Linked DNA regions of Rhinolophus ferrumequinum. The protein of the gene in region 4 purifies or fractionates together with the protein of the main gene of each other region. This does not show direct contact. Links are inferred from orthologs where the notes say so. Each region holds a gene or a part of one and is shown on either strand. Other genes may lie near its edges.

Region 1 (7,308 bases), on a different chromosome or scaffold from region 4:
TTGGAAAAATCATATCTCCCTCACATTCCCATAGGAATATATGTTCCTAATATGTGTCACCAAGTATTAGAGCTGGATTTTATCTGCCGTTCCCTTATCAGTGAGTTCCCCCAGAGTAAAAGTGTGCATTCATGTTTATAATCCCACACTGATGAAGAGGAAGCAACAGTGAGAAAAATCCTATTTGACATTTACATGTGATATCCGTATGTTTCCTACTGGGGACATCACAGACATGAGAGCAATGCCTTCCATTTCCTGGGCCAGGGCACAAAGGCGTCCCACTCCCTTCACAACTGTTGGTGTGTGTGTGGAGGGGCAGGGGTTGAGGAGCATGTAAGGAGAAAACTATTTTTATTTGAAAGGTTCTCATTGCTACTGAATATAACAGGCACACAAAAGCTATTTTCTACTTCAGGGCAGCATGGTTTGAACGAGAGGAAGCTCAGAGTTGATTCCAACCCAACCCTCTGAGGTGGTATACAGGTGAAGAAACTACGGCCCTAGAGCAATGAAGTATCAGGACATATGACCCCAAGTCTCTGAAGTGAAAAGAGTTAAGTGACATAAGGGGGATAAATGCAGCAGCAGCTAAATAGTGGGTCAGTCTCAGCTTCTGAGGCTGCAGCATTAATACAGCCTTAGAAAATGGAAATTAAGAGGCTAAACAAGTTACTACTAATAATTACCTCCAAGTTTATTATAGCTGTCGATGTTTTTAAGGCTTCTGGAAAATCAAAGTTAGAGATGTCTCCCCTTCTGCACTAAAGAAATGTACCTGTGAAATATAATGGGATGGAACTCAGGACACCAGGAGTCTAGTCACCTGTTCCTTCGATAGATGATTAGATAAAGAAGATGTCGTGTATATACACAATGGAATACTACTCTGCTATAAAAAAGATGAAATACTGCTGTTTGTGACAACATGGATGGATCCTGAGATTACCGTATCATGCTAAGTGAAATAAGTCAGACAGAAAAAGTCTCTCATATGTGGGATATAAAACCGAAAGCAACAAAGGAACAAGAGAAACAAACAAACAAAAACTCATAGACACAGACAATAGTTTAGTGGTTACCCGAGGTTAAGTGGGAAGAGAGGTGATAGATGAGGGCAAAGGGGGTCAAATATATGGTGATGGAAGGAGAACTGACTCTGGGTGGTGAACACACAATGTGATATATAGATGATGTAATATAGAATTGACACTTGAAACCCATGTAATTTTACTAACCACTGTCACCCCAATAAATTAAAAAAAAAACGTACTCAGAAGCTTTCGGTGGTCTCCATTTTTAGTCCTTGAACTAATTACACGTTTGCTTACTTTCCATCCTACAGCAAAGGCTTTCTCTAAGGACTTACTGTTGTTCCTATATATATACATATATTCTAAAATACATAAACTTTACATGCTGTATCAGCTGAGAAGTTAAGAGATAAGAGATGTTCAGAACTCTGACACATTGTTAACTGATAGGATCTAATTATCCCCAATTCAATAAAATATTCATGAGTACCAGATGTTACCTGATTTTATCTAAACAAGTATTTTCCAGGTTAAAAAAAACACTAAGTAAAAAGTACCTACACAAAACCCACATACAAAAAAACTGGTTTAATTTATCATGAAATTAAGAAAACCATTTCCTTCTTAGTTATTATACCTTAAAAAAGAAACAAATGTGTATTTCCATTATGCTAAAAACTTCCATGAAGCTATCCTATGGAAATATTTGCACTTGAGTCTATGAAATAAAAAACTGGAAGCAACCTGTATGTATATCAATAGATAAATACTATTATTTATATTTAATAAGTAATAGTATCTGGAGCTTTAAAAGAACAGGACCTTTCTATACAATATACCATCAAAAATTTTTAAAGCTGTAAGATTTCTATAGCATAATCCCATTTTTGAAAAAAGTGTATATGTATATGCATATATTTATGAATAAGCATAAAAATTCGTTTGGAAGGATAAGCACTAACCCGTTTAGTTTCCTATGGGTGAAAGGGTGTTGCATTTCACATTGTATTGTGGATATAATTTTTAAAACAGGAGGATATTGTCAAGGTTCCCTCATTTACTTTGTAATCAGTATCTGTAGGATGCATTAGTTTAAAATCTGAAGTTTTCTCCTTCCTTTGGGTTTCTAAATTACAAATAAGGGACATCACAATGCAGACAAAGCTCCCTGACAGCAAAATGTGCTTTAGTTGCTGCGGTCTGACAAAGATTCTCCCCGTGACCGCTTTCTAGCCAGGCTCCTCTGAGCCCTCTTCCCGACCAGGCCTCAATTTTGGCCCATAAAGGCTTGATTAAAACATTAATATGATTTCTAACAGCTCAAGGCTGTATCCCTAGAATGACCTTAACTCCTTTAAAGCGCCGGCCTGTGAAAACTGAATGCAGCCAAAATAATTTAGTTTGTTCCAGCCAACAGAGGGCGGGCAGTGGGATGGTAGGAATCTAACTTCCAAAGCTCCAGCTGACAAACCCAAATGGGTTTCAAAAGGACCAACCCCCTTCCCACTTTCTGTAATTTTTCACTTCCCTGACTCTAAGCCCCGCTCACCGCCGCTCCCTATCCTTTCATTCTCCCTGTAAAACGCTGTCACCTCTACACAAATGAAGTTGAGTTCAGTCCAAGCTGGACTCTTCTCCCTGTCGCAGCTGCATATTACTGATTAAAATTCGTACCGACCGCTTTAACTAGTGTCAGCTTTGTCTTTGACGCATCTCTCGGGCACTTTGCAGTCTATCAGAGAAAACGAACTACTGAAACAAGGAGCCGCAGCCGCCCGGGGCACCCCCGAGTGGCGCCGAAGGCTCCAGGAGCCCTTCTCCCGGCACCGAGCCCAGCGGCCCGGGCCCTCCAGGTCCGCAGGCGCCTCCTCCCTGCTGGTCGCCGCGCCGCCACCCGCCGGGCTTCGGGGCAACGCCAAGTTCCGCGGCGGCCACGCAGAACGGCGGGACAATCGCACGGCCCCAGGCCTCACCTTTTGGAAAGATGAGCTGGGAGGCGTCCTCCTCGACGTCGCCAGCCAGCGCATCGCTGCCACCCGCCGCCATCGCCGAGCTACGCGCCGCCACCCACACCGCCGGAAGCGGAAGCGTGGGGACCCCGGTGCAGCCACGTCCGGGGCGTGGCGGGGGCGTGGCGGGCCGGGGCCAGGACGCTGCGAGGGGAGGGGTTGTGCCGCGAGTCTTGGAGCGGGTCCCGGGACCGTTTTGAGCCTCAGCTTCTCACCCGTGAAATGTGGGTAAGGACACCTGCTTCCCAGTGGGGAGGGGTGGGCTGGATGACATACAGGAATGTGCCGGCTGACCCCAGGAACTCTCCGTTGAAGGGATGCCGGGTCGGTGACCTCGAAAACGTACCGGGGAATTTCTTCCAATGCCTTACGCATTTTAAATTTTGACGTGTAGTGGATTATTCTGATACTTCTGAGCACGTGGACAGTGATTTTGAGAGGCCTTTAATGTCTGTTGAAGCACTTGGATTATACATAGAAAAGTAAGCAAATGGAAAATGATGTTTTCAAATTCAGAGAAAAGATTGTAAAATAAAGGACATAATTATAGTGCATTGCTTCGCTCAGTAGTGAGCAGTGTTTAGGTATCATGTAAGCTCTGTTCAAATGAAAAATAAACCACACAAGAATATGTACCTTGTATTCCTTTACTTTATAATTTTTACAAAATTAATTTGCTTTGTATGTGTATTTCTAGAAGAAATGTATTGGGTATGTCGAAAGAATGCCTAGCCTAAGAAAGTCTTATAAGAGTTTATTTGAGCCAAACGGATGACAATTGCAGGCAAACAAAATCTCAACAGATTGAGAAAATGCTCCAGAAAATGGCAGTTTTGCAGCTTATTTTATACATTAGAGTCAAAGGAGGAGACCTAAGAAGGTTTACATGACATCCATTGATGGCAAATAAGGGGTGGGAGAAAGCAAAACGGAGAAATCTCTGGCATTGGATAAAAAGCAAAACGGAGTGGACATACTTTATATACATTGGTGGGCACAGGATAGTTAACATTTACAACACATAGAGATGGTATGTGAGCAACCATTTAATAATGTTGTCTTGTGCTCTGGTACCAGCGGTTGTGCCTTCGCGGGGACAGGAAAAGAAAATTACTCTGACATTTTAAAGGTATGTTATATAAGATTGCACAAAAACAATAGACAATTTCAAAGGTAGACTGACCTTTGTCAAGGAAGCTATAGGCCCTATAGGCCTAGGACGGGCCTACCCAACATGACCTGCTTTTACTTAGGAACTTTTATGTTCTGGCCATCTTGTGTGGTTACTTTTGGTCTCTGAGTATGTATATATGCGGGCCTCCCCTGAGCTTGTCAGGTTCAGTACACGGCCCCCTTTTGGTCCACAGGTAAAATAACAGTAGGTTATTGTGGGGACAGAGTCCCAGAGAGCAGTTTCTAGGCTCTCAGCCTCACGTGGAAAGGTACTGGCTCAGGTAGTAAATGGCCATCAGCTGTGACTAGTTGGCCATCAGCTATTACAGGTTAGCCATTAGCCACTAGTATAACTTCCGTGGCTACGCGGGCAGGTTGGTTGGTTGGCAGAGAAGGGCGGATTGCGGCTAGCAAGGGGGATTGGTTCACAGAGAAGCGGATGGCAGATGGCAGATTGTGTGGATCCTGCTTCTATATCTCCAGCCCAGCCGCCATCGAGAATGTAGTGGTCTGACTCCCCTATCTATGGCTCTGTTGTTCCTTTTCGGCCTCGCCATATCCTGTGTTCTTGTGCAGGGAGCGTGACCAGAGTCCCTGAATGACAGTTATATTGTAGTAGCAGATCTTGTTACTGTTTCAAAGTGCTTTCTGTACGGTTCATTAGAGCTGTGACAGATGTACTGTTGAGGTGTCTGGGCACATGCAGCAGCTGGGGGGGGGGGTCGGAAATACGCCTGGAACTCTGTAGGCTTCTTTCTTCCATGTATCCATCCAGCAGGCCCTTACAGAGTACCTACTACTTACTGGACCTTCCCATGTGCTGGCCCAAGAGCTGGCTGGATTCCCAGCACTTGGTGTCTTCTGCATACACAGCAGTAGAGAAGACTATAGATAAAGAGAAGAGAGGAGAATAACAAGTAATACAAACATGATGTTTCAGGTTTGTTTATCCAGAACATTATCATTCAGGAAACCATTGTAAACATTTCTGTGCAATGCTCTAGGCTTAAAAAGACAGTCATTGATCTGTCCCCACAGGGAGCTCACCAAGAACAGTTGACTTATTTTCCATAATAAAAGAAATGGCGGGTGGTATGAGAAAGTCAAAGAAAGTGCTGTAGAAGACTACGGAGAGAAAGAGGTCACTTCTGGTTGGGAGTAGGTGAACCACAGGAGGATCTGGGGAGCAGGGACTGGCCTGGAAACTGCTCCTTAACATGTAGTCAGAGAAGGGAGAGGGGTAACATGAACGAACTTGCCAGGTACATACACAGAATATTCACTCTTCAAGGTAAATTCATATTTCAACTTCCTTAAATGTCACAGTAATTATATAGAACTTACACAAACCCAGAACAATGTTTGCTATAACCGTTTTCATTAATGTTGCTATATCATTTTTTTCAATCAAGTGAATAGTTTACACCTTTTATAACCTTTTAGAATGCTTCTCAAAGAATCCCTTGTGGACTGAATCACTCATGTTTTCTGCCTACACCCAGGTGTTTTGCCTCTAAAATAGATGTTTCCCAGTTCTCCATGTACTCAAGGTTAATGTACAGAATCTCCCAAATTTAAGCTCTTCTCTCATAAATTAAAAAAATCTTTGGCACCTGCTGCTGGAAGTCTGCTGGTAAGCGCTACAAAGGAAGCCAAAAGGATAAACATGTAACCTCCCTTTTGCTATTAATAGTCTCTCGAGATCAAAGGAATGAGGTATATGGGGGGCGGGGAGGGTTGTGTGACTCTGCAAACCGCCCTTCACTTCCAGGGACAACTTCCAGAGGCTGTCCTGGGAGTCCGGACTTGGGTTCTAAGTCCTATCTGCCTGGCAATGTGACAGGGCAGTGAGACCTGAGAGGGCTCATCCACTCCATGTGGCTGTGGTTTGACTCTGAGAAACCCTTTTCTCAGGTCAAGCTGCGCTTACTTCAGCACCCACCTCTCTCAGGAAGCCCGTCGAGTCGGGGGGCTGAGCACACCAATTATGCTGCCTCCTTTTTGTGTCCAGAGTAGCGTAGGGTTCTGAAGGGTTCACATGGGCCGTTTTCCCATCTTCCGCCAGCACTGGATGCTACTCCAAATAGTCACAGCCATCCTGCCACTGCTGCATGTGCTGGGGCCTCAGCAAAGTGTTTTTGACAGGCTACCTTGGAAATTCAGTCCTGTCGCAAAGCAGGAAATTCAGCTCAGAGTATTACTTGTCTGGTTCTTAAATGGCAGGACCAAGATTCAAGCTAAAGCCTGTCAGACTACCAGCCTGTGAAAGTCCCAATGTCAGCACTTTGGGTTGCTTATTTGTTTGGGGACCAAATAAGAATGGCCATACTGGGGTTGGGGTCTGAGTGGCAGCAGGAACTTGAGTGACTGACTGGGACTCTCTCCGTTGCTTCCTCCACTGATGGTTAAGTTTTGGAATCGAAGGGGTTTTCAGTTTGCTGTAGCATACAGAACCTACTACAAAGAGCAAGTAAGCAGCAGGAAGAATCCTTGTCAGTTTCATTTAGCATTAAGAAAAGGCTCGAAGGGACAGGGTTTGCATTACCTTCTTCAAGATGCTACTCTGGCTTCTTTGTACAGTATTGGTTTAGAGTCAAGTCCTTCAACCAGCTCAGTGAATAGTATTTAAAAGCCAGATATTCAAGCCAAGGTAACAGACTCCAGGTTCACCTGGAAGCAGCTTTACACCCACACCCCAAGAATCAGCACCACCGAACTCTATGGCTTAGTTCACCTTTCAGGTAGTAGGAGTGGTTAACATGGCGAATTGTTCCAGTGCACTGCCACCACCACCACCACCACCACCACCACCAAAAATACCCCAAAACACAGCTGTATTTCATGCTGTTTAACACAGATGGTATTAAATAGGTAATAATATGGAATGTTCATCTCTAGAACTGTAATTTTTCGAAACCATTCCTCTCACACACACACCCACCGTTATTACCAGTCTATGTTTAACCAGTTGGTAGTTTATGTCCAAAATTATCATCTAACCCTGACAGCACGTATACCTGTAGCCATATGCTGATGAGTTCTGCCAGGTGTAAGAGCCTCAGAACTGGGTATCTTAAGAAAAAAAATTACAT
Region 2 (7,860 bases), on a different chromosome or scaffold from region 4:
ATTGTCATTTGTAATCCCACAAGGCAGGGATGGGGACCAACGTATTCTTGCAAATGATGTAACCATACAGGTAAAGCACCAGAGCCCAAAGGTAGAAAATGTTAAATGCTCGCATAATTTAGTAAAAAATGTTTTAAAACAGGAAGGAGACTATGTTTAAGGAAAACATGTCCTCAGGCTCACATGAACACTGCTTGCTCCCACTGGTGGACCAAGCGCATTAAAGGAGTAATCTTGAGAACGTTCTTTTACAAAGTTAAATGTGGCCACTGTCATCTGATATCATCTGATATGGTGAAGCCAAATCCTAACTCCACCACTTTACTGTGTAATCTTAAGCAATTTAGGTAATATCCCGAGCCTTAGTTTCCCCATCTCTATACCAATGATTTAAAAATCTATTTCTGAGGGTTATTTTCAGATAGGAGATATATTATAAATGACAGTAAAGGGCTGGGTACATAGCAGGTACTTAATATGTAAGGGTCTTTGAGGACTGTTATCATACTTGATTTTATATATTCTAATTTTACCTCTTGAAAAGAAAGTAACTTTGATCTGCTATTGGTAAATAAAGGTAATCCGTCTTGGTTCTACAACCCTTTGAGCATTTATTATTCAAAGAGCCACAAAACATCTCTCCCAACAATAACTTTACATATACAAATGGTTGAAAGCTTGGGGCCTATGATTTTGCAAGTTTTATCCATCTGTTCCCTAAAAGGTAAACACAAATCAAAACACTTCAGAGGCCATGGCAGAAGTGGAATAAGAACAACTGGATGACGGGTATCACTGATGACAAGCCATGGTCAGGGAGCAAAAGAGCTAAAATTCAAATACAGAAGCAACAAAAGACCTAAAATTCAAAAATCCCTGAGAAGAAAGTTAACCCTCTCTTCTCAGCAGGAAGCAACAGTGAATTCTCCACACTTCCTCCTAGAAGATTTGAGATCTTTGGCACACCATCCACGTTTCCTGACAGTTTACTAGACCTCTTTTCTGTAGTAAAGCAGCAAAGTGGAAAAACTGCCCCACGAAGGCAAAAAAGTAATAACTGGGGGGAGGGGGCGTACTATATATTCAAAAAGCTCATTTCTTGATTTCCTGTTTTGATTATTACCTATGAAACCAAACTCAATTCCTTAAAAAGGTATTTCAAGTGATTAAAAAGTAGTCGGATGTGGGTTTTTTTTTCATTTTAAGGTATTATTGACAATACTTGACTACATACAGTAGTTTCCGGTCATTATCAAGAAGCCTGTATTTCATTGCAGCAAACACAGGTAACAGGGAAACCTCCCAGGTGGTCGCCTCAGCTCTATGTGGAGCACACGTTGTTTAACATTCACCCAGATAAACCCTTCTTATTACACATCCCAAGTTTCAGGTCAGTAGAAAACAGAGTGGTCCAACATATTCCAGCGAAATAGTTGGATTTACTAGTGGTGCTTAGATCAGAGCTTGTCTAGCATCAGGAAAACCAGAAATCATTAACACCTCACGGCCTATAGAAGAAACGAACGGACGCGACAATTTCCGTGAAGGTTCAGTAAAGTCAACGGTACCTTACGAGGCTTTGAAAAGACATAATGTGTAAATCGCTATAGATCTGGGGCCAACGGCCCAAGGTCACACCAAGTCAGTGGCTACATATCCACGAAATGCTAAGCTTCCCGCAATTCAGGAAAACCCTGGCTAGGAATGGAGGAGTCTGGGTCTGGGAACACTCGGGTCAAAGCTTTACTGTGAACAACCCCAGCCAAATGCAGTGGCTCCATGGGAAAACCTCAAGCGATTCGGGCGGTATTTCCTTCCATTTCCCCGGTCTTCCCTTCCCCTAGGCACCCCCAACACTCACATCTCCGGAGCCACTTCATCCAATGGTAGACGATAGTAGTGTGGTGTTTCTTGTTCTCTATACACCAAGACGACAGGCCTTGAATAGATTCCATGGTGTTAGTTACCGACTGGAATTTTCGATCCAACGAGGACTCCAGAGCCCCTGCCGAAGAGGCCGACGAGGAGGAGGCCTTACTGCTGCCTCCGCCGCCGCCGGCCGCCATCTTCCCGGTTTGCACAAGCGCTGCTGCTCCTCTGGCGGCGGCGGCGGCGGCGGCGGCGGCGGCGGCGGCGGCAGCGGCGCCAGCGGCGGCGGCGGCGGGAGCGGGCAAAACAATCACTGCGAGTGCGTGAAAGCCGTAGGTGGGGAAGGAGGCCGGGGGGTGGGGGTGGTGCACGCGCTAGGCTCTTCTGGAGGTAGGATCGGCAGGCCAGCTGCTAGGCACGCTGGCGGCTCCAGCACGCTGCAAGGAGGGGCTGCGGGTTTCGAAGGTTTATCAGAATGGTTCAAGGGGTTGTGTGTAAACTAGTCAGTAATCAGGCAAGAATTACGCAGAAAACAGGTCCTTGCAAAGCCTTTCAAAACGGCTGGCCCCAAACTAATGGTTTTATACTCTTGCGCTCTTTACGCTAAGGCCCTTTCCCACTCCTATCCCCACACTCCTGTTAGGGCGGCTGTGAATATCTTAAATTTAATACTACCCGAGTGCCCCTTCGATTGCAGAAATCTTTTTCTCTCCTTTAGATCCTCTAGTACAGAAAAGGCCCAAGGCTACCTAGTCAGGATTTTTTTTTTTGCAACGCAATAGCAGCAAAGGAACAGCAACAGTATCGCGCACGCGCCGCTTGGCCCCGCCCCCCGTTTCCTTCTCAACCTAGAGAGCAGGGGGAGGTGTCATGGCGGGGCAATCTGACCAATCAAGGGAGAAGAAGGAGAAGCGCGCGCAGGAGCCCGCAAACCCCTAGAGCCGAGGAGGCGCTTCAATTACTTGTGCGCCTGCGCAGCACCTCCGCGTGTAGCGGACTGGGAGGAAAAGCGGGGAGGGGAGGGTAAGGGGACTGGTCAAACTAAGGAGAGGTTGGGGGAGGGGGTTACACCGCCGCCCCGCCTTTTGCTTCCCAGCGAGGTCTCTCACTTGGGGCTATCCAGATCACATAACAAGGCCGGGAAACTCCCACCGCTCAGCGGCCACTATTACTTTCTGGCGGCTGCCGCCGCCGCCGCCGCTGCTGACTCCTCGGGGCACCGACGCTCGACCAAGTGGCTGGCAGCCATCTTGCAGTGCCTCTGACAGGTGCGCATGCGCCAGCTCCAGCGAGCCATTCACTACGCAGACTCCCAGACGAAGCAACATTTCACAGTCCCCTTGGACCATACCATTCATAGCCGCTTGACTATTTGGATTATATGAAGAGGAAGTAAATTAAGTGAAACGAAAATTTCCCCGTAAAATTTTGGAGACGAGTAAAAGATAAAAGACAGGATATGGTCTCACCTTCGGCACAATCTCAGAATTGTACAATACATTATAATTTACAAGAGCCTTAAGTAATATTGATTAGCATCATTCTATCACATCTGTCTAGGTAAATCCTCTGGGCAGATTTGGAGGCTTCCGTGTCCAACTGAACACATGTAATTATTATATTTCAATTCTTTTATGTCACCCCAGTAGACTCACTTTTCTTGAGGCAGAGAATCTGTTTTTTCGAGCTCATATCTAGTATTAATTCAACAAAAAGTTGTTGAACGTGTTGAACCAAGCACTCACTGTTCTACCTGTTGGATAGAGTAACAGGAAAACGGACAAAAATTCCTTCCCTCTAGGGCTTAGTGTCAGGAGACCATAACCAAATACATGTCAGGGAGTAGTAAGTTCTATTAAGAAGTATGAAGCAGAGTAAGGGAGATGGGCGGTATCGTGTGGGTGATCCTAGATGGGCATGGGAATGGTGGTTTAATGAATCGGAAGGGCTTTTGGAAGGAAGTGACACTTTATCTTGTTAAACAAAAAATTTTGAACTTCATGGCTGAAAGCCTTTTTAAAAGAAAGAGTTTATTAGCCCATTGCTGGTGAAAAAAGAAGACAGGTTTTGGGGCGTGGAGTCTAAACCACCAGCAACATAGCTAGGTAGGAAGGATAACATGTCCAAGTCCCTGAGTTTTGCAGGCATTTTTACACATGGAGTAGGGAGGAGAAATTTATAAGCCATTCTGAAAGAATTTACATTAGCTATAGACAAAGGGGATAGGCCCAAGAGAGTCCATAAAACTCATGCATAAACAAGAAACAGAGACCCCTGGGGTTCAGTAGCAGCCTAGCTATTCTCTTTTTTTTTAGATAATCTGGAAATGGCCACCTGGAAGTTAATTTAATAATTCCAAAACACACTAAGGCAGTGTAAGCAGTCTTTTGTTGGTTTTGCACTGCCGTGGTTACCTGATTAACCCCTTTTTGTCTCTTCCTTCCACTCTCTGGCCTGCTATAATTTAATTTAGGACTTCTCAGAATTTTCTCCTTGTCAATCTGAATGTCGAGAACAAGGTAACCAAGCAGATACCGGAGAGGAGGAGGAGAACATGCTGGCAGAAGGAACGGCAAGTGCAGAGGCTCTTAAAACAGAATGTCTTGACATATTAAAGGAAGAACAAGGAGGCCAGTGTGGCTGGAGAAGAGTAAGAGAGGGGACAAGTGGTACAGTATGAGGTCTGAGAAGTGAAGGGAGAGAGTTCGTGTGGAACCTTCCAAAGCCACTGTAAGGATGTTGGCTTTGAAATGAGATGGGAAGTCCTTTTAAGCAGAGAAGTTACATGGCAATCTTTTTAAATGATCACATTGGTTGCTATGTTGAAAATAGACTTCGGAGCCACCAGTTAAGGAGGCTGTTGGAATAATCCAGGCAAGGAAATGATGGTGATCTGTACCAGAGTGCAAAAAAGATAATGAGAAGTGGTGTCAGATCCTGGATCTATTTTGAGGGAAGAGCCTAAAAGCATGTTCATGGATTTAAGGGGAGTGTGGGAGAAACAAGTCTGACACCAAGGCTTTTGACCTGAGCAATTCTCAAAGCCTTTTTTTCCTTATCATTGTCCCTAAAGATTCATTTTAGATATTTTTTCCTAATCCCCTCAACCTCTGTGAAATTTTAATGCTACAGATATGCTGTGTATCTGTATATGTATAATACAATGTGTATAGCTGTGCTTTCTGCAAGAGTAAACATGAAGTTTACTCTTTTTTTTTTTTTTTTAAAGGAGGGCACAGCTCAGAGTGGCCCATGCGGGGATCGAACCGGCAACCTTGGTGCTACTAGCACCGTGCTCTAACCAACTGAGCTAACTGGCCACCCAGACCTTACTCTTTATATTCAATGCAGTTAAGAATGACTAAAATCTTTAAGTTAAATATTTTAAATGTTAAAACTATTAATATTTAACAACTTTATAACTGTATTTGCTGAGTAAACTTTCCTTACATAAATTGTAATTTCTTACATATGCAAATTACAACTTACATAAACATATAACAGCAATGTAATCATTTTTTAAAAAATTATTCAAAACTATTATATTTCCACAACAGCAACAACAACAAATAAACAATCCAATTAAAAAATGCACAGACGGGGGCCAGCCCGGTGGCTCAGGCAGTTGGAGCTCCATTCTGCTAACGCCGAAGGCTGCCGGTTCGATTCCCACATGGGCCAGTGGGCTCTCAACCACAAGGTTGCCAGTTCAATTCTTCGACTCCCGCAAGGGATGGTGGGCTGTACCCCCTGCAACTAACAACGGCAACTAGACCTGGAGCTGAGCTGCGCCCTCCACAACTAAGATTGAAAGGACAACAACTTGACTTAGAAAAAGTCCTGGAAGTCCTGGAACACACTGTTCCCCAATAAAGTCCTGTTTAAAAGAAAAATGCACAGAGGACCTAAACAGACACTTCTTCAAAGAAGACATATAAATGGCCAACAGATACGTGAAAAGATGCTCAACTTCACTAGCTCTTCAGGAAATGCAAATCAAAACCACAAGGAGACACCATCTCACACCTGTTAGAATGGCTATTATCAATAAGACAAGAAATAACAAGTGTTGGAGAGGATGTGGAGAAAAAAGAACCCACCTACACCGCAGGGGAATTTAAACTGGTACAGCCACTATGGAAAACAGTATGGAGGTTCCTCAAAAAATTAAGAATAGCGCTACCAGATGACCTAGCAATTCCTCTTCTGGGCATCTAACCCAAAATTTTGAAAACATTTATTCATAGAGATATATGTACCCCTATGTTCATTGCAATATTAGTCACAATAGCCAAGACATGGAAACAACCTAAGTTTTCTACAATGAATGATTGGATAAGGAAGATGTGGTACATATGTTTAAGGGAATACTACTCAGCCATAAGAAAGGATGAAATACTGCCATTTGCCACAACATGGATGGATCTTGAGAATATCATGCTAAGGGGGAAAAAAGTCAGACGGAAAAGGACAAGAACCATACGATTTTACTCACATATGGGATAAAAAATTGAAAGCAACAAACCCACACACAAAAACTCAGACACAGACAACAGTATGGTGGTTACCAGAGGGGAGGTGGAAGGAGGATGATGAAGGTAAAGGGGGTCAAATATGTGGTAATGGAAGGAGACTAGACTTTGGGTGGTGAGCACACAGTACAACATACTATATTATAGAATTGTACACTTGAAACATATAATGTTATTAACTAATGTCATCTCAATACATTTAATTTAAAAAACTTATTTTCCAGAAAAAGTAAAACAATTGAAAATATATTAAAATTTTAGTGAACTTTTAACTTTTATTTGGCATGAGAAAATTACTAGCTGCTAGATATTTATTTAGCTATTGTTGACATTTTTTCTTCTCGGCATTTGATATAGCTAAAGATTAATTGAGTAACTTGTAGAATTAAATAATAAAATATAAGCTATTTTTATTTGCTTCTCAAAGCCCAAGTCAGATGCAAAGCACTGAGAATCATAACATTCACAAGGTAGTAAATGACAGCCAATAGTCATGTGTAGGCCACTTCCTGTGTTATGACTTCAAAGTAGGGCAAATGAGGGAGAGAAAGTTCTCCAATCACAGCTACCTATTTCTTATAGTTTTGTAGCACTGGCCTTGCATACATTTTGTGTATCATCTGTGAGTTCAGTGTCACTGCTGCTTGTGTCATACCCCGAAAAATGAGAGAAATTAAGGAATAAGATTTTGTTGGGTAGAGTTGAGCTTTGGAGGGTGACAAAGCATTGTAATGCCTAAGATTTTTCTTTTTATCCCCCAAGAACCAATTATTTTTCCCCTATGGAGTGATATTGGCCCCATTGAGACTGCATGAACTAGAAGAATGGAGTTGCCATTTTCCCAGATGGACCAGGGGAGGAAAGAGGGAAGAGCAGTCTTGTGAGAAATGAGTAGGAATCAGGATTTCAATTATGGACATCTCGAGGCTGGGAAACCAGACACATAAATGGCATCAGCTATGTGAGTCCGAAGTTCATGAGAGAGGTATCAGTAGGAAACATCAATTTATTATCTGTATATGGATGACCTTCAAAGCTGTGAGATGGATGAGGTTGCCCAGGAAGTAAGTGAGTATAGATAGAAAAGAGGTCCAAGGACTGAGATAAAGAGCAACTTGCAAAGGAGATTGAAAAGGAATGAGCAGTGAAAACAGAAACCAGAGAATAATGTTCTGAAAGCCAAGTAATGAAAATTTGTCAAGACGGAGAGAGTAATCAATTGTCAGGTATTGCTATATAGGTTGCATAAAATGAGGACTGAGATAACCAGTGAATTTGGCAACAAGGTGATCATTGGGGATCTTGACAAGGGAAGTGAAGTGATTGGAGAGGCTTCTAGAGAGAATAGGAGAAGTAGAAATACTACAACTCTTTCAAGAAATAAAATGGGAACAGAGACAGGGAGCTGAAGATGGAGGGAAATGCGGGGTCAAGGTGTCGTTTATTTTTTTCAAGATGG
Region 3 (7,427 bases), on a different chromosome or scaffold from region 4:
AGCTACGTAGTCTCTACCAAAGATCAGTACATGTGATCTTTCGAGGACTTTTTTGTTCTGGTTTGTGAGTTTATTCATAGGAAAAGTCATAAAAAGATGTTATTCAATCACAATAATATTCATTAAATTTGCTAATTAAAAAGTAAAATTAAATGAAATAAAAAAATATCAAACATTTAATAATGTTTTTTTCCTAAATGATCTCCCACACTATCAAAAAGATCATAAAACACTGTGGTGGCCTGATAAAAGAGATTTGTCACCAAACAACACTCAACCATGTGAAAGACTGAAAAGAAAAAAATTCTTTCAATTTGAACCTTATTTGGCTGGGATTTTTCTCACCAGAGTCTTCCTATTTTTTTTCCATGGGCAACTGCCCTCTTGATTAATCCCATTTCCCTCAGTCTTAGTTTTTCCAAGCAGCTGAGCAAACAAAGATGCAGGCGGCCATTTTAACGTGCTTCCTCTCTCCAGCCCTCTGGGATGGGCCGGCTGTTCATCCTGTTCATAAACCAACAGCCTGAATGTGCTTGGAGAAAGCAGCAAGGATCTTCTGTCAGGATTAATTTTAATAGGCCACAGTCTGTCACCTGGGAACCATAGCTCTGGCAAATGGCTTTAAATTACTATTTGCTGATAAAGAGTGAGATATGAGCTGAAAATTTGGTCCCTCATTTTAAACAGTTTGGATAACTAATGCAAGAATTTACTTTCAGTGTAGAGTACATGTTCTTTACAGCCTGAATCCTTGAGTAGCTGAGGAAAACCTTTTGTTGCAGTGGGGTCACAGTGAAATACAAAGAGGGGAAATGTGACATTTTATAGAAGTGTAGAATTTTAGAGCTGGGAGGGAAATGAAGAATTTGTGAATTCCTCAGCACAAAGCTTCCTCCGAAGCTTTCTGTTTCTGATTTCTGTGTAGAGAAATGTTATCCCTCTTACTATCCCTTCCATTTTTTTGTCTTCCTCTTCACCAATTCCTTTCTCTCTCCTTTTTCTTTTTTTCACTTTGTTGATCTCATATCCAGTTCCAACTCCCTGTTACCTTCCTTACTTTCTCTTCCCTAACTTGCCAGGCTCCTGTCAGTTATTTGTGAAGTTCTGCACTGATGGACAGAAAAGGCAGCAGGGTGAAGTAGGGCTAGTCCCCTCTGTGAAGTAGGGATAGTCCCCAGTGCTCTGTTCATCTGAGAAAGCAGTGAGTGAAAGGAGTGACTGGAAGAGGAGGTTTGGTAAATGGTACACAGATGTCAGCCATTATTGTTTAATAAAGTCTTAGGCTACCATTCTTTATTAAGTTTCCAGTAGCTATGGCTGCTATGGTTTGTTTGAAAGTTCAGCATGTTCCATTCCCAAAAGGATGTTTAAAAAACACACCAAAGAAAATAGAATTTTCTTCGAATTTGTTTATGACCCTTGGTTCCCATCTCTTCTCCATGTGGCCAGCAGACCAAAAGGTAGCCTTCCCTCTCCTCAGTCGGCTCTATCACCTTGAAGTCCAGACATCAATCAAGCCTTGATTTTCCTAACACATTAGTGCTATTGGACTCTCTTATTAGTCAGGGTTCTTCAAAGAAAAAGATCCAATAGGATGTGTCTATGTGTGTGTGTGTATAATCATATGAGCCAATTTCTTAAAATACATTTCATTTTAAGGACTTGGTTCATGTGATTATCAATGCAGGATAGACCAGCAGGCAGGAAATCCAGGGGAGAACCACTGTTGCAGTGCAAGTATGAAGGCTGTCTGCTGGCAGAATTCCTTCTGTTCGTGGGAGGTCAGTCTTTGTTGTAGTAAAGGCTTAATTGATAGGAAGAGGTCCACCTACATTATGGCAGGTAATCTACTTTACTGAAAGTCCACTGATTTGAATGCAAATCTCATCCAAAAAATACTTTCACAGAAACACCTAGAATGTTTGGCCAAATATCTGGGCACTGTGACCTAGGCAAGTTGACATGTAAGATTAACCATCACAGACTCCTTTGCTGATAATCATTGTTCCTAATGAACCTGTCTGGTTCTGATATCTGCCTATCCTCTCTTTTAAATTCTCTTTTGGGATGAACCTCCCACTAACCATTATTCTGCTGCCAAGTTCCGCTACTTGGCAGGAATCAGGCTAAATTTTTCATTTACACTTGCCTCACATGTCACAGCTAATATGACCACACACCACTGCCACCCTGGGCATTTCTAATCAGAGAGCCCGGGCATGCTTCTGCCTGGCCCCCTGTGGTACTCCCTTCCTACCCTCCAATGATCCCTACATGGTGGCAAGACCACCTCTGAATGCTGAGAGGCCCAACAAATGTGGAATCGAACACTTCCAGTCTTTACTACATTGATATTGGTGTTTCCCACATCAGTATTCCAAGTGAGGAAAGCAAAATTAGATATTTTTAAGGGCAGCTTAGGCTACAGGCAGGAAGATCTTTTAGGAGCTATTATAGTAGTTCACTCAAGGGCTTGGACAAAGACAATGGAGGCAACAATGGGTGTATGGGGAAGTGCTGAAAGGGTGGCAAGAGGGAGAGTGTACAGAAAAGAAGGTACTTGGGCTGTAGGATTTCGTAATCAGTTAGGTGGAGGGAAAAAGAATAGTCAGGTATGAATATCTAGTTTCTTGTTTGGACAACTATGTGGATGGTCTTGCCATTAAACAGTGAGAATTTTAAAAACAAAGAGTGGGTTAGGGGAGGAAATTTTTAGTTTCGAACAAGTTGAAGCTGAGAAATCTTAGGGATATCCAGGTGGTAAGGTCCTTACCCTGACTCTAGTTCTAGCCCCAGAACAAATACTCCAGATTTGAAACTCCTGGAAAGATTGGTAACATGGAATTCATGGTATGAGTGACTTTTGAGAAAATGGTCAACAGGATCAGATGCAGCAAGGAGAAAGACTAAAATCTGTCCCTTGGGTTTGGCAACCAGGAGAGGGTTCATGGCACTGGTGAGAGTGGTGAAGATCTGCCGGAGAGTAAGTCTTTCAGGAAGCTAATCTCTGAAGAGAGGGGCACTTTTTACATCTTTATTGGGGGGTATAACTGACATGCTATAGACATTGGACATATTTTAAATATACAATGCAATAAGTTGTGACTAGCTAAGTCCAAGGCCTTATTCAAGTATTTATTTAGCTAGGGCTGGAGCAGGCTATTGAAGTCCTTGAAAGCAGGGTTTAAGTTGAGAATTTTTATACATTAGTTAATCTCATCAGAATGGACAAGATTGGGAGGACACAGAAATGGCTTCAGCCATGCTCCCTGAAGTAGCTTCAGATTTTTTTCTAGAGCTTCTCTAGTTAGGAGGGATTGCTTTTGTCTATTATAGCACCTTACATTGAATTTAGAAAATTAAAGTTTCCATATCAAAGAATGGGGAGGCAGTGTTGGAAGTTATGGGGGCATTCATACCTCCCAATTGATATCTACTGTGTCTCTTTCATGCTTCTTCCTTTTTCCTTTGGGACCCAACTCTGGTAGCTGAACTATAAAGAATAGGTTAGAGCTGGGTGCGATGCTTATTACGCTGCCTTCCTCTTCTCAACAGCCTTAAAAAAAACTTTTCAACAATTTTAAACACTTGGAAATAGGCATACAGTGAAAACGGAGACTTACAAATTGGTGTCCTAAAAAGAGCAGGTGGGCATTTGAATTTGAACTCTAGTGTTTTCACTTAACTAGTTTTGTGCGCCGGGAATATTTACTTCAGTTTCTGTGCCTTTGTTTTTCTATAGGCAAAATCTGAAATTGTGAAAGAGAGGTTCTCAAGCCAGACATCAACTATCTTGCAATGCCTGAGGCAGTACTGCCCATGATTAAAGTCCAGCTCCAAATGCCAGAGCCCCATGAAGGAACGCTGATGGTCCCTAAGGGTCCTTTCAACTTTAACTTTTGAAAACATCGCAGCCTTGGGTTAAGGAGGCGCCACATCATAGACCAGGGCCTCCCAAGCCTCGTCCTGCACGTTACCCCAGCCTCTCACCAAAGGCTAACTCGTCACTCAGGTTTCGACCTACATTTCACTTCTTAGAAACACCTTCTTTGGTCCTCACACCAATCTTACTATTAATATTGTTTTATTATTACTTGATTAATGTCTGCCCCCTCCACCAATCGGTAAACTCCGTAATAGCAGGGGCTGTGGCGATTTGTTGAGGTCACGGTGGCACTCAGTAAATACTTTTTAAATCAACAAATGAGGGGATGAACAGAGAAACGACAAACGGCGCGAACGCACGCCCCACCGGGGCGTGACGTCACCCGCCGTAACTTCCGCTCCTCCGGGCGCCCCCTTCTCCTTGTCCGTGTTTATTTCCGGCGTTTCAATAAAGCTCGATTCGGCTCGAAGAAGACCTGTCCTTCCGGGAAAATGGCGGCTCCCGCTCGTGCTCCGCAGTCCCCGCCGGCCGCAGATCCGGTGCTAGCGGCGGGAGCTGCCGAGGAAGCCGAGTGCCCGCCGCCTCGCCAGCCTCAGCCCCCGCAGAATGTCCTCGCAGCGCCGCGGCTTCGAGCCCCAAGCTCCCGAGGGCTTGGGGCAGCGGAGTTTGGCGGAGCTGCGGGAGATGTTGAAGCGCCAGGAGAGACTTTTGCGCAACGAGTAAGCTGGGGTCCCGCCGAGTCACCGCCAGGCTCCTCCGGTTCAGGTTCCCAGGGACGCACCTCCCCCCGCCCCCCACCCCGTTCCCTTCCCCGGAAGGTGACCTTGTCTCAGACAGCTCCGTTCCAGCCCCGCGGGCGAGCGGACGGCCTGCAGCCGCCAAGCCGTGCGCGTTCTGGCCTGGCGCGGCCCGCCTGTGGGGGCGGCTCGCTGCGGAACGGCGCTTCAGGGTATCAGCTCTTCTTTAGCTCCTCGTTGGTGTATTGACTCAGCTACCGAGTCGGTTCCCTGAAGGGCGGGTCTGTACCTCGATCCTTTTGTTCCCCACCCCCGCCCCCATAGCGTGCCCAAAACAGCCTGTCAGTTTCATCCCTAGGGACTATTTTTATAGGAACCGTTGGAAATGGAAAGAGTGGGATTGAGGAGTGGTTTATTAGGCAGAAAAAGTTGAACTTTCATTCGTTGGCAGACAATGCGCTTTAGCAGGGAAACGATATGATGAAAGTGATTTATTTTAGGAAGCCTAATTTAGCAGCTTGGTGCAAGATGCTTTGAAGGAGTAAGAGGCAGAAGACAGTAGGAAGATATTTTCAAAGAGTTTGCCAACAAGGAGTTTGTAAGAAAGTGAACTATAAAAGTAGTTGAGGAGTTGGGGAACTTCATCAGACTTGGAATAATTTGAATAGGTTGTTGACAGGTGGCTGAGGATTGCGGCCTGTATGGAGAACTATTAACCACAGGAAAATTGGGGGAGGGGAATAGATTCCAGGTTGACTTGACTTAGGGCGTGCTGAGTTGAAGGGAGAGTTAATTATATCTAGTTAAAAGCTGGAGAAATGGTCATGAGGCTCGAGAGAGGAGAAAGCTTGGAAAATAGAGGAATCTCAACTGGAGGGGATGTTATCAATTGAAACTGTGGGAATGAAAGTAGTTTCCGAGGAAGAATAGAGGGCCTGACATGTAACCTTCCCTCCCCATTGTATGGCTAAAGACAGGGGAATCAGAAAAGGAACTCTGTCCCTCAGCAAATAGGACACATGATCGTTTGGGGGCTTCCTAGTACAAGCAAATATTTTGACTTTGTGAGAATGGATTTTTAATTTGTAACAGCGAATTAACTTGGTGTCAGGACTCCTTTCTATGCGTAAGTCTTATTGAGTATTCTAAAGAATTCTTGTTTTATGTGTGTTATATCTGTGGACATTTGTCAATGTATTAGGAATTACAAGTGAGAAATCGTAAGCACAAGAAAACACAAGTTCATACATTCTGTTAGCCAGCAGAGCAATGGTAATCACATGTCCTGTGGCCTCAGGAAAACTCCACTCACCCATGTGAAAAAAGGAGAGTGAAAATTGGTAAATAGTGTCTTAGTATTACTACGAAAATACTTTTGACCTTATAGACCCATTCACCTCCTCTCCCCAGGAAGGCCTTAGAGATCATACGTTAAAAACTGGTGACTTCTGGGATGTCTCACATGAGTATTATATGCTTAAAATACTTTTGCTGAAATTCTAATTAGAGGAGACAAATGAGGCACATTCCCTATTCTTCCTTGATCTGCTTGTTTTTTGGGGGCGGGTATTTGGATAATGACTGTCTTATTTCATTCATGTTTCGGGGCAGTTGGAAATCAGATTTTTGACTTACAGATTGATTTTTCTCCCTTTGAAGATAGTGCTTTGTCATTATATCTCAAGTTTAAAAACATGGCTCTAATGTATATGTGTTTTTTTTCCATTTGACAGAAAATTCATTTGCAAATTGCCCGACAAAGGTAAAAAGATCTTAGACTCTGTTGCCAAACTGAAAGCTGCCATTGCAGAACGTGAAGAAGTTATGGAAAAAAGTGAACTGTTTCATCCTGTTAGTTTAGACTGTAAACTAAGGCAAAAAGCAATTGCCATTGTTGAGATGGACACGGATAAATTCCAGAATTCTGACAAGATACTTGATACTTCATCACGAGTTCCTGGCTGTTCCTCTGTAGATAACATCACATCATCTGAAACAACCTCACAACAACAAGGACTTGTATCTTCTACCCAGAAAGGCGATGAAGAGGCCCCAGAGTTGGGGTACACGGTGAACAAGCGCCCAGCCCCCAGCAACAGAGCCCATGCACCTTCCTTATCCGAAGCTAGTGGTCATCTCCCTCAGCATCGAGTGTCAAGTCGAGCAGAAGATAATTCTAGCAGCTCTGACAGCTCGTTTATTGATAGGTTACAAAGGATCACAATTACAGACCGAGGTGAACACCACTCAGAAGAAAACGGGAGTACTGAGAACTTGACAGGCCTTTGTAGTGAGATGCAGAAGAAGCCTCATTACATGGAAGTGCTAGATATGCGAGCCAAATACCCAGTGCCCTCGCCACATAAATTTAAAACCAATGTGTAAGTACCATCAAAAACAGGCCAGTCACAGGAACATACTATTTGTTAAACTCAAAAAATTGGGAGAATGCTTTAAGTTCAGTGGACTTTGTGTGAGAACTACTTGTAGTGGGGAATGAGCATATGTGGAAAACAGTGAGACCAGCCTGACTGGAGTGGAGGATTCATGTTGAAAAATACTTTAATATTTAGCCAAATAATTGAAAAGGTTTTAAATAGCAAGTGGAGTATTAAATTTCAGGACACTTAGTCAGTATTTCATAATAAACACAGAGAATTTACTGTGACTCCTTTTTTCCCAGAATCATTTTCAGGTATGCAGTTCCCCCTTTGATTAGACTGTCAGCTAAGGAAAAAGGAATTGTAGGAGCTGGTAGACTTTCGCAGCAAAAAATATTTGTGTGCTCACTTTCTGTGTAAGCA
Region 4 (7,407 bases):
GGGAAATTTACACAAAAACATGGAAATCAATGAAAATAAAAATACAACATAAAATTTGTGGGACACAGCTACAGCCATGCTGAGAGGGAAATTTATAAACATACATATATTAGAAAAGAGGAAAGGTCTCAAATCAATAACCTAAGCTCCCACCTCAAGAACCTAAAAAAGACAAGCAAGATAAAACCAAAGAAAGCAGAAGGAAGGATATAATAAAGAACAGAGCACAGATCAATGAAATTGAGAACAGAAAACAACAGATAAAAATCAATGAAAAAGAACTAGTTCTTTGAAAAGATCAATAAAATTGTCAAACTTCTGGCAAGACTGATTTTGTGTGTGTGTGTGTGTGTGTGTGTGTGTGTGCGTGAGAGAGAGAGAGAGAGAGAGAGAGAAAGGGAAAGAGAAAAATTAGCAATATTAATACTGAAATGAGACAGCACTACAGACCCTGTAGACATCAAAGGATAATACAGGAATACTACAAATAACTTTGACAACTTAGATGAAATGGTGACTTCCTAAAAAACACAAACTACTATAACTCATATAAAATTAAATAGATCATTTGAATAGCCTTATAACTTTTAAGAAAATTGAATTGTCATTTAAGTACTCAAAAGAAAGGAAGGAAGGAAGGAAGGAAGGAAGGAAGGAAGGAAGGAAGGAAGGAAGGAAGAAAAGAAAGGAAAAAGGAAAGGAAAAAGTAAAAAAGGAAAAGAAGAAAGGTAGAAAGGAAGGGAGGGAGGAAGGGAAAGAGAGAGGGAAGGAAGGAAAGAAATCTCCAAGCCCAGATAGTTTCACTGGGATATTCTACCAACCATTTAAAGAAGAATTAACACTAATTTTACACAATCTTTTAGGAAAAGAAGAGGAGGAAATACTTTCCAATCCATTTTATGAAGCTAGCATCACCCTGATATCACCAAAACACAACAAAGACAATACAAAAATTAAAAAAAGACTGCAGACCAATTTCCCTCATGAATATAGAGATGCAAAGACCCTAAAAATATTAGGAAATACGAGGTCTGACAATAAAGTCCGCAAATTCATTCTAGAAAAAGTGCTACATCCCTCATTGCTAAATATCACTATGGTCACCTTTGAAGTACTCTTCTTGGGAAGCTATGTACTGATGCTAGTGCCTAGTTCACCCTTCCAAACAATTTTGGAAATCTTTTTCTGGAATGGCCATCAGAGCTGTCGTATTACCCTTGATGTCCTGCATGTCATCAAAATGTCTTCCTTTCAATATTTCTTTTATCTTCAGGTCAAGAAAGAAGTCATTGGGGACCAGATCAGGTGAGTAGGGAGGGTGTTCCAATAGAGTTATTTGTTTACTGGCTAAAAACTCCCTCACAGACAGTGCCGTGTGAGCTGGTGCATTGTCGTGATGCAAGAGCTCCTTCGGGACTATATTTGCACACACCTTTCTCATGCCAAGATTTTCAGTTAAGATTTTCCTAACTGTTTCTCTATTGATGCATAGCTCCCCAAGGGGAGTACTTTGAAGGTGACCGTAGTGATATTCAGCAACGAGGTATGTAGCACTTTTTCTAGGATGAGGTCGCGAACTTAATTGTCATACCTCGTATAATTCAGTAGCATGTAAATAGAATTATACACCATGACAAAACTCAACCAAAACTCAACAAAGACAATACAAAAATTAAAAAAAAAACTGTAGGGTTTATTCTAGGGATGAAAGCATGGCTCAATATTTGAAAATCAATCAGTGTAATTAATATTAACAAGCTAAAGAAGAAAAATCACATGATGATATCATCCTCACATTCATACCTCTAGATCCTGAAGTATCCTAGGACTCAGTCACTGGACCCCTTTTCTTTCCACACTTATTCTCTTTTATGACTCACACATTTATACCTCCAGTCCAGATCTCTCCCTTGAACTCGAGACTCACAGATCCAATTACCTATGAGACATCTCTGTTTGGATAGGCATTTCCAACCGGACATGTACAAATCTAAACTCCTGCTCTTACTCCCCAAACCAGCTCGTTCCTCAGTTCGGTAAATGGAAGAATCCATTCTTACGGTTGCTTAGGCTACCGCATAAACCCGTCTTTCTTTTACATCTCATATCTAATCGGTCACCTCTTCTTCTAAAATATCCCCAGAATCTGACCCTTTCTCACCACCTCCACCCTGGTCTGAGTTATCCTTTCATCTGGGTTATTACAATAGCTGCCAAACTGGTCTTCCTGCTTCTTACACCCTATTTTCTCCTTAACAGCCACAATGCTCCTCCTTCACTCAAAACCATTTATTAGACTGTCATTTCACTGAGTAATATCCAAAGTCCTTACGATTGCCCACTATGTGATGTGATCCCTGGCGACTTCTCTGAGCTCATTTCTAGCTTTCTGGTTCCTATCACTCTAGCCTTACTGCCCTCCTTGCAGTTCCTCAGACAGGGCCCTTCTAACCCCAGGACATTGTACTTGGTTTTCCCTCTGCCTGGAACCACATCCCACTACAGAGCACATGGCTTGTTCTCTCTGTTCTTTCAGGGCTCTGATCAAGTGTCACCATATCAGTGAGGCTTTCTCTGACCAGCATATATAATAGATTCCTATCTGCCCACACATACATTCCTCACCCCTCTTTACCCTCCTTGATTTGTATTTAAGGCACTCATTTTTCTGACTCATTTTATACTCGCATGTTTATCTATCTTCCCCTGTAGAAGGTAAGCTTCCGAGAACTGGATTCTGACTGTTTGCCTAGAATAGTGCTTCAAAGATGCTCAAAATTATTTGCTGAGTGAATGAATGAACCACTGGTTTGGGAATGAAACATTTGAGATCACACGTCAGATAACCTTGATTTGACTCCTGCTCTGTCATTTCCTATGTCCAAGTGACATTGGACACACTCACCCATGCTTTATGTCTCCTCATTGGTCAAATAGTGATAATCCTCACCTCGTAGCACTGTTGTAATGATTAAATAAAAGAAGGTATGGAATGTGCTTAATACACCGTGACTTGCTATAAAAATGCTCAGTATATGACAGTGTTACCTAATACACAAAGATCGCCTAGCCTTTGACTCAAAGGCCTTAGGTTATAATTACAACTAGATGTGACTGTGTGATTTTAAGCTATTCACCTCTTTTATGTTAATTCACTCAATCAGCTATGAATCAGGTGCTGAGGTAAAAAAGAGAAGATGCAGGTCCTTCCCTCTAATCTTAGCTATGTGCCCTCTCTGAGTTTCTTCATTTGCCAAACAGGAATAATGTAATACCTACCTCATAGATTTGTGGTAAGGATGAAATGCGTTACTATGTGAAAATACAGTGTCCAGTTCACAGCAACTGCTCACTATGCTGGCTCTGATTATGATTCTACTCTGGGGGAGAAACAGAAGCATCTAAACAAAGAACTACAATACAGCGCAGTAAGAGACTCTGGAACCTGTCCACAACTGCTAAGTTCCATGACGATTAGGAAATTTTAAAATTCCATTACGTCTACAATAACCTAACTCCCTACCACCACGCCAATAGCAGAAGGACAAAGTTCCCTGCTGATTTGATAACTGGAATTTTAAACTTTTTAAAAATAGGAAAGGGGTTCAGTCTCAAACAGTGTGTTTTAAAGGTCAATGTTCCCTTTGCCTCCACCCCCCGAAAAGTTAACATTACTTAAACGTGAGACACAGTCAAATGGACCCCCGGAGGGCAGCACGTACTTCTGGGAATAAAGGAAACAATTAAGAGCCAAGAGGAGAAAAGTGTATCCTATGGCGCTGCTGCCACAGTGCAAATGTCAGAACTGGACATTAAAGGGTGGCCCTGGAGCCGAGTGGGAGCCCATCAGGTGAGAAGGGGGCGTCACCTTTGGAGAAGGAACAGCGAGAGCCAAGGCGTGGAGGCGTGAAAAGTGCACGTGGGTGGCTTGGCAGAACCAAAAAGAAGCTTTGGGGGGAGGGAGGCCAGGGAGCAGGGCACGTATGGAGGAAGAGTGCGGCCGGGGGGTTTGCCAGTCGAGGGAGAAAGCCGCCTCTCATACCTACGTCACGATCACTCAGCCTCACTGTCCCCTCAGGATCCCCCTCCACAGGCTGCCAGTTGCCGGGCTCCCTCTTGCTCCCGCCACTCTTCCCTTACCTTGTCTTCCAGCCTCTCCCTCACTCTCCCGCCTCCTCCTCCCCGCCGGTAGTGACGCGCTAAGGAGTGCGCCGCAGAGCGCCACACAGGTTCCCCGGGAGCGGGAGAAAGGGTCCGGGGAGACTCACTGCGCCGGCGTGCGGGCGCGAGCGGTCGAAGCGCCTTCCGGAGGCCGCCGAACTGCGTTTCTTTCCCCATCTGTAGCTTTCAGAGTGCCCCGAGCGAGCTTCAGAGAGGCCGCCGCCACTGCAGGCGCGTTTTCCTGCAGCTCTGACACCTCCCGGTGTCCAGCGACTCCGGCCCTTGCCCTTTAACCCTGCCTTCGCGGTGGGGTGAGAGGTCGGTGGCCATCTTGTGGCGGCGGCGCGGGCGGCTGTTACTGCGGAGACCCATCCCCCCACCCCCTGGCCCGCCTAGCCGTCTGTCAGTCAGTAAAGAGTCCCCCAGGCGGTCAGGTGAGGCCCCGGCCTCGTGCCGTCGCTCTTCCCGCCGCACTGGGCGGCCCAGGCCGCTCCCTGCCGGGCCTCACCGCCGCCACCATGTCCTCCTTCTCGGAGTCGGCGCTGGAGAAGAAGCTCTCGGAGTTGAGCAACTCTCAGCAGAGCGTGCAGACCCTGTCCCTGTGGCTCATCCACCACCGCAAGCACGCGGGACCCATCGTCTCGGTGTGGCACCGCGAGCTCCGCAAAGGTAAACACCCCCCCCCCCACCTCGTGCCCCCCCCCCCCCGGGTTGTCCTCTCTCCCACCCACTGCTGAGGCCCCTCTAGCTTCTTCCTTGAGCCTTGCTTTCCAGGTCCGGGCCTCTGATTGCGCTTCTGAGGTTGGAGACAGTGTTATCCCCATTTCTCGGAGAAGGAAACTGAGGCCCAGGTAGATTGAAGGTGCTTGTCTGAGGTTCCACCGACCGGGGCTCTAGTGCCCAGACTCCCTCTTCACCCAGCCGTTTTCCCCTCGGGCTCCTCCTGACACTTGTGATTATTACTATCTCTGCAGTGTTACGGGCCTCGTGGAGGGGACTGGCCCTAGCCAGTTGTGTGCCAGGCACGTTGCTGGGCATTTGGAGTAAGAGCCAGCAGACCCTGGAGTAAGACTGCCTAGATCGAGCCTTGGCACAGCCACTTCCTAGCTGAGCGAATACTGGGAGAGTTTCTTCATCTCAACGCTTCTGTTTTCTCATCTGTAAAACGAGGATGAGGGTAGCTGCCACTTACATAGAGAGCCCTTATTCTGTGCCAGTCACGATTCCAAGACCTTTGCATACATCCTGGCACTCAGTTCTCAGAACAGCCCTATGAAGTGGGTAGTTACTTCCTGTCCATAGAGAGGTTAAGGGGCCACACTACCTAAGCTTCTCTTCTCATGCAACTTGCATTGCTTGTAGACCCTGCTCAGGATCTGGCATTCCGTTGAGCTCAGCCCATTGTGTGCCAGGCACTGGGTTGGGTGATTGAAAGCATGTTGGCTCCAGAGACGAACTGTCTGGGATTTAAGCCTGACTGACATTTACTGATCCCAGCAGCTTAACCTCTTTGCCCCTCAGTTTTCTTCTCTATAAAATGGAGATGACGTTAACCGATTGACCGAGCCTTTATTATGTGCCACGTGCAGTACTTATATCTTTACATACATTGTCATTTTTTAAATTCTCAGAGCCCTGTGAGGTAGAAACTTGCAGATGAGGAAAATCAGAGGCTCAGACAACTTGTGGTGAGGAGTAAACAGGATAATCCAAATGAAGGTCTGGCATGGTGTCTGGATCAGTGCAGATATTCGAGAAATAACATCGAGATAAGATTATTGATTATTCAATGTGAGGCACGGTCTTTGCCTTCAAGTAGCTTGGAGTCTGGTGGGGAAAGATGGTCACCAGCTATGCGATACTCTGGTGAGTTCCATAGCAGAAAGCTATGGAAATGAAGCTTAGAGCTGTTTTGGACAGCCTATAAGTGGTAGGGTCTTTATAGCGTAGGAAGCACCTTTACATGTGTTCTCTACTATCTATAAGGTGGGAATTCTACCCTGTGTTACAGATGAGGAAACTGAAGTGGCTAAGTGGTATTTTTAAGGCATTGGAATTGGTGAGGTTACGACTACATCAGGCTGGCAGACACCAAAATCCAGGATTCTTTCAGGAGACCCAGTGCTAGCCCTTTAGCAGAGAACCTTCCCCCCACCCCCATCATGTGCTTTACTGAGATAGGAGTCCCGTCAGCCCTCTGGGCAGTTGGGGGATAGAGCCTGGAGCTCCCAGGCTCTATCCCCACTGTGTACACCACTGTGCCATTCAACTATTTCCAAAATCTGAGATGTGAAAAAAAGGAATCGCCTCTGCAGGATTCTATCCGGTAGGATCTCAGAGACAGGGCAGACTCCATCTCAAATGTTACTACTAGTTGATTCCCCTCCTCACCCTGCTTGAGTTGTTGAAAAACACAATTTAGAGGGTGTAGTCATCATGAAGCTCCTTGAACCCTAACTTCATATGATGGAACCTTATGTTGTAAGTGGAGTAGCCTGGCATTCTTACCCCCGTTTTATAGATGAGAAGATAAAGATACAGAGAGATTAAGTGCTTTGTTCAGGGGCATACAGCTGGGACATGATCCCAGAGCTCTCTGACACCAAAACATGTGCTTTCAAGTACGCAGTGCCTCGTTGCACTTAATACGTGAAGGAGGTCATAACCTTCCCCAAACCTGGAGTGCTTTTGTTAGAATTAATCACTGCCTCCCGCCCCACCCCACACCAGTTGAGCATCTATGGTTGGTCCTCTCTATCCCTGAATTCAACCCGGGGGGTGGGGGGGGTTGAAAATGTTCTAGAGAAAAAATTATACTGTTGCCGACATGTACTTAGTTAGGCCTAGGATGGTTGCCTCTGTACTGAACAACATGCACAGACTTTTTTTTCCTTGTTGTTATTCCCTAAACAATACAGTATAACAATTTACATAGTATTTACATTTTATTAGGTATTATAAGTAATCTAGAGATGATTTAAAGTATACGGAAGGATGTGCTTAGGTTATATGCAGATACTATACCATTTTATTAAGGGGGCTTGAGCATCTGTGGATTTTGGTACTTGAGCAGCAGGTTGGGAGAGTGGGGGTGGGGAGGGGTTGTCCTGGAACCAATCCCTCTTGGATACCAAGGGCCTACTGTAGTTCATCCTTCTAGTTATGTCTTTTTCACTAGATTGTGTTTTGAGGGGGAAACTAGGCCTCTTGCGTCTTTGCAATGTCTACAGCATTTAGCATGGTGCC

The links.
Region 1: the proteins of RPRD1B (region 4) and POLR2D purify together in Homo sapiens (affinity purification with mass spectrometry; 3 studies listed by BioGRID and IntAct, counting the BioPlex papers as one, with this or other methods). This does not show direct contact. The link is inferred for Rhinolophus ferrumequinum from reciprocal best matches to the Homo sapiens genes RPRD1B and POLR2D.
Region 2: the proteins of RPRD1B (region 4) and RPRD2 purify together in Homo sapiens (affinity purification with mass spectrometry; 4 studies listed by BioGRID and IntAct, counting the BioPlex papers as one, with this or other methods). This does not show direct contact. The link is inferred for Rhinolophus ferrumequinum from reciprocal best matches to the Homo sapiens genes RPRD1B and RPRD2.
Region 3: the proteins of RPRD1B (region 4) and POLR2M purify together in Homo sapiens (affinity purification with mass spectrometry; 3 studies listed by BioGRID and IntAct, counting the BioPlex papers as one, with this or other methods). This does not show direct contact. The link is inferred for Rhinolophus ferrumequinum from reciprocal best matches to the Homo sapiens genes RPRD1B and POLR2M.

The regions. Positions count from the first base shown.
Region 1 is NW_022680440.1:944,064-951,371, forward strand, and holds the start of POLR2D (DNA-directed RNA polymerase II subunit RPB4), read right to left. Parts: upstream 3,146-7,308; 5' UTR 3,081-3,145; coding exon 3,008-3,080; intron 1-3,007. UniProt on the Homo sapiens protein: Core component of RNA polymerase II (Pol II), a DNA-dependent RNA polymerase which synthesizes mRNA precursors and many functional non-coding RNAs using the four ribonucleoside triphosphates as substrates.
Region 2 is NC_046305.1:50,691,172-50,699,031, reverse strand, and holds the start of RPRD2 (regulation of nuclear pre-mRNA domain-containing protein 2), read right to left. Parts: upstream 3,048-7,860; 5' UTR 2,067-3,047; coding exon 1,862-2,066; intron 1-1,861.
Region 3 is NC_046289.1:51,654,127-51,661,553, reverse strand, and holds the start of POLR2M (protein GRINL1A), read left to right. Parts: upstream 1-4,340; 5' UTR 4,341-4,492; coding exon 4,493-4,605; intron 4,606-6,356; coding exon 6,357-7,004; intron 7,005-7,427.
Region 4 is NC_046306.1:18,065,974-18,073,380, reverse strand, and holds the start of RPRD1B (regulation of nuclear pre-mRNA domain-containing protein 1B), read left to right. Parts: upstream 1-4,297; 5' UTR 4,298-4,679; coding exon 4,680-4,830; intron 4,831-7,407. UniProt on the Homo sapiens protein: Interacts with phosphorylated C-terminal heptapeptide repeat domain (CTD) of the largest RNA polymerase II subunit POLR2A, and participates in dephosphorylation of the CTD by RPAP2. Transcriptional regulator which enhances expression of CCND1.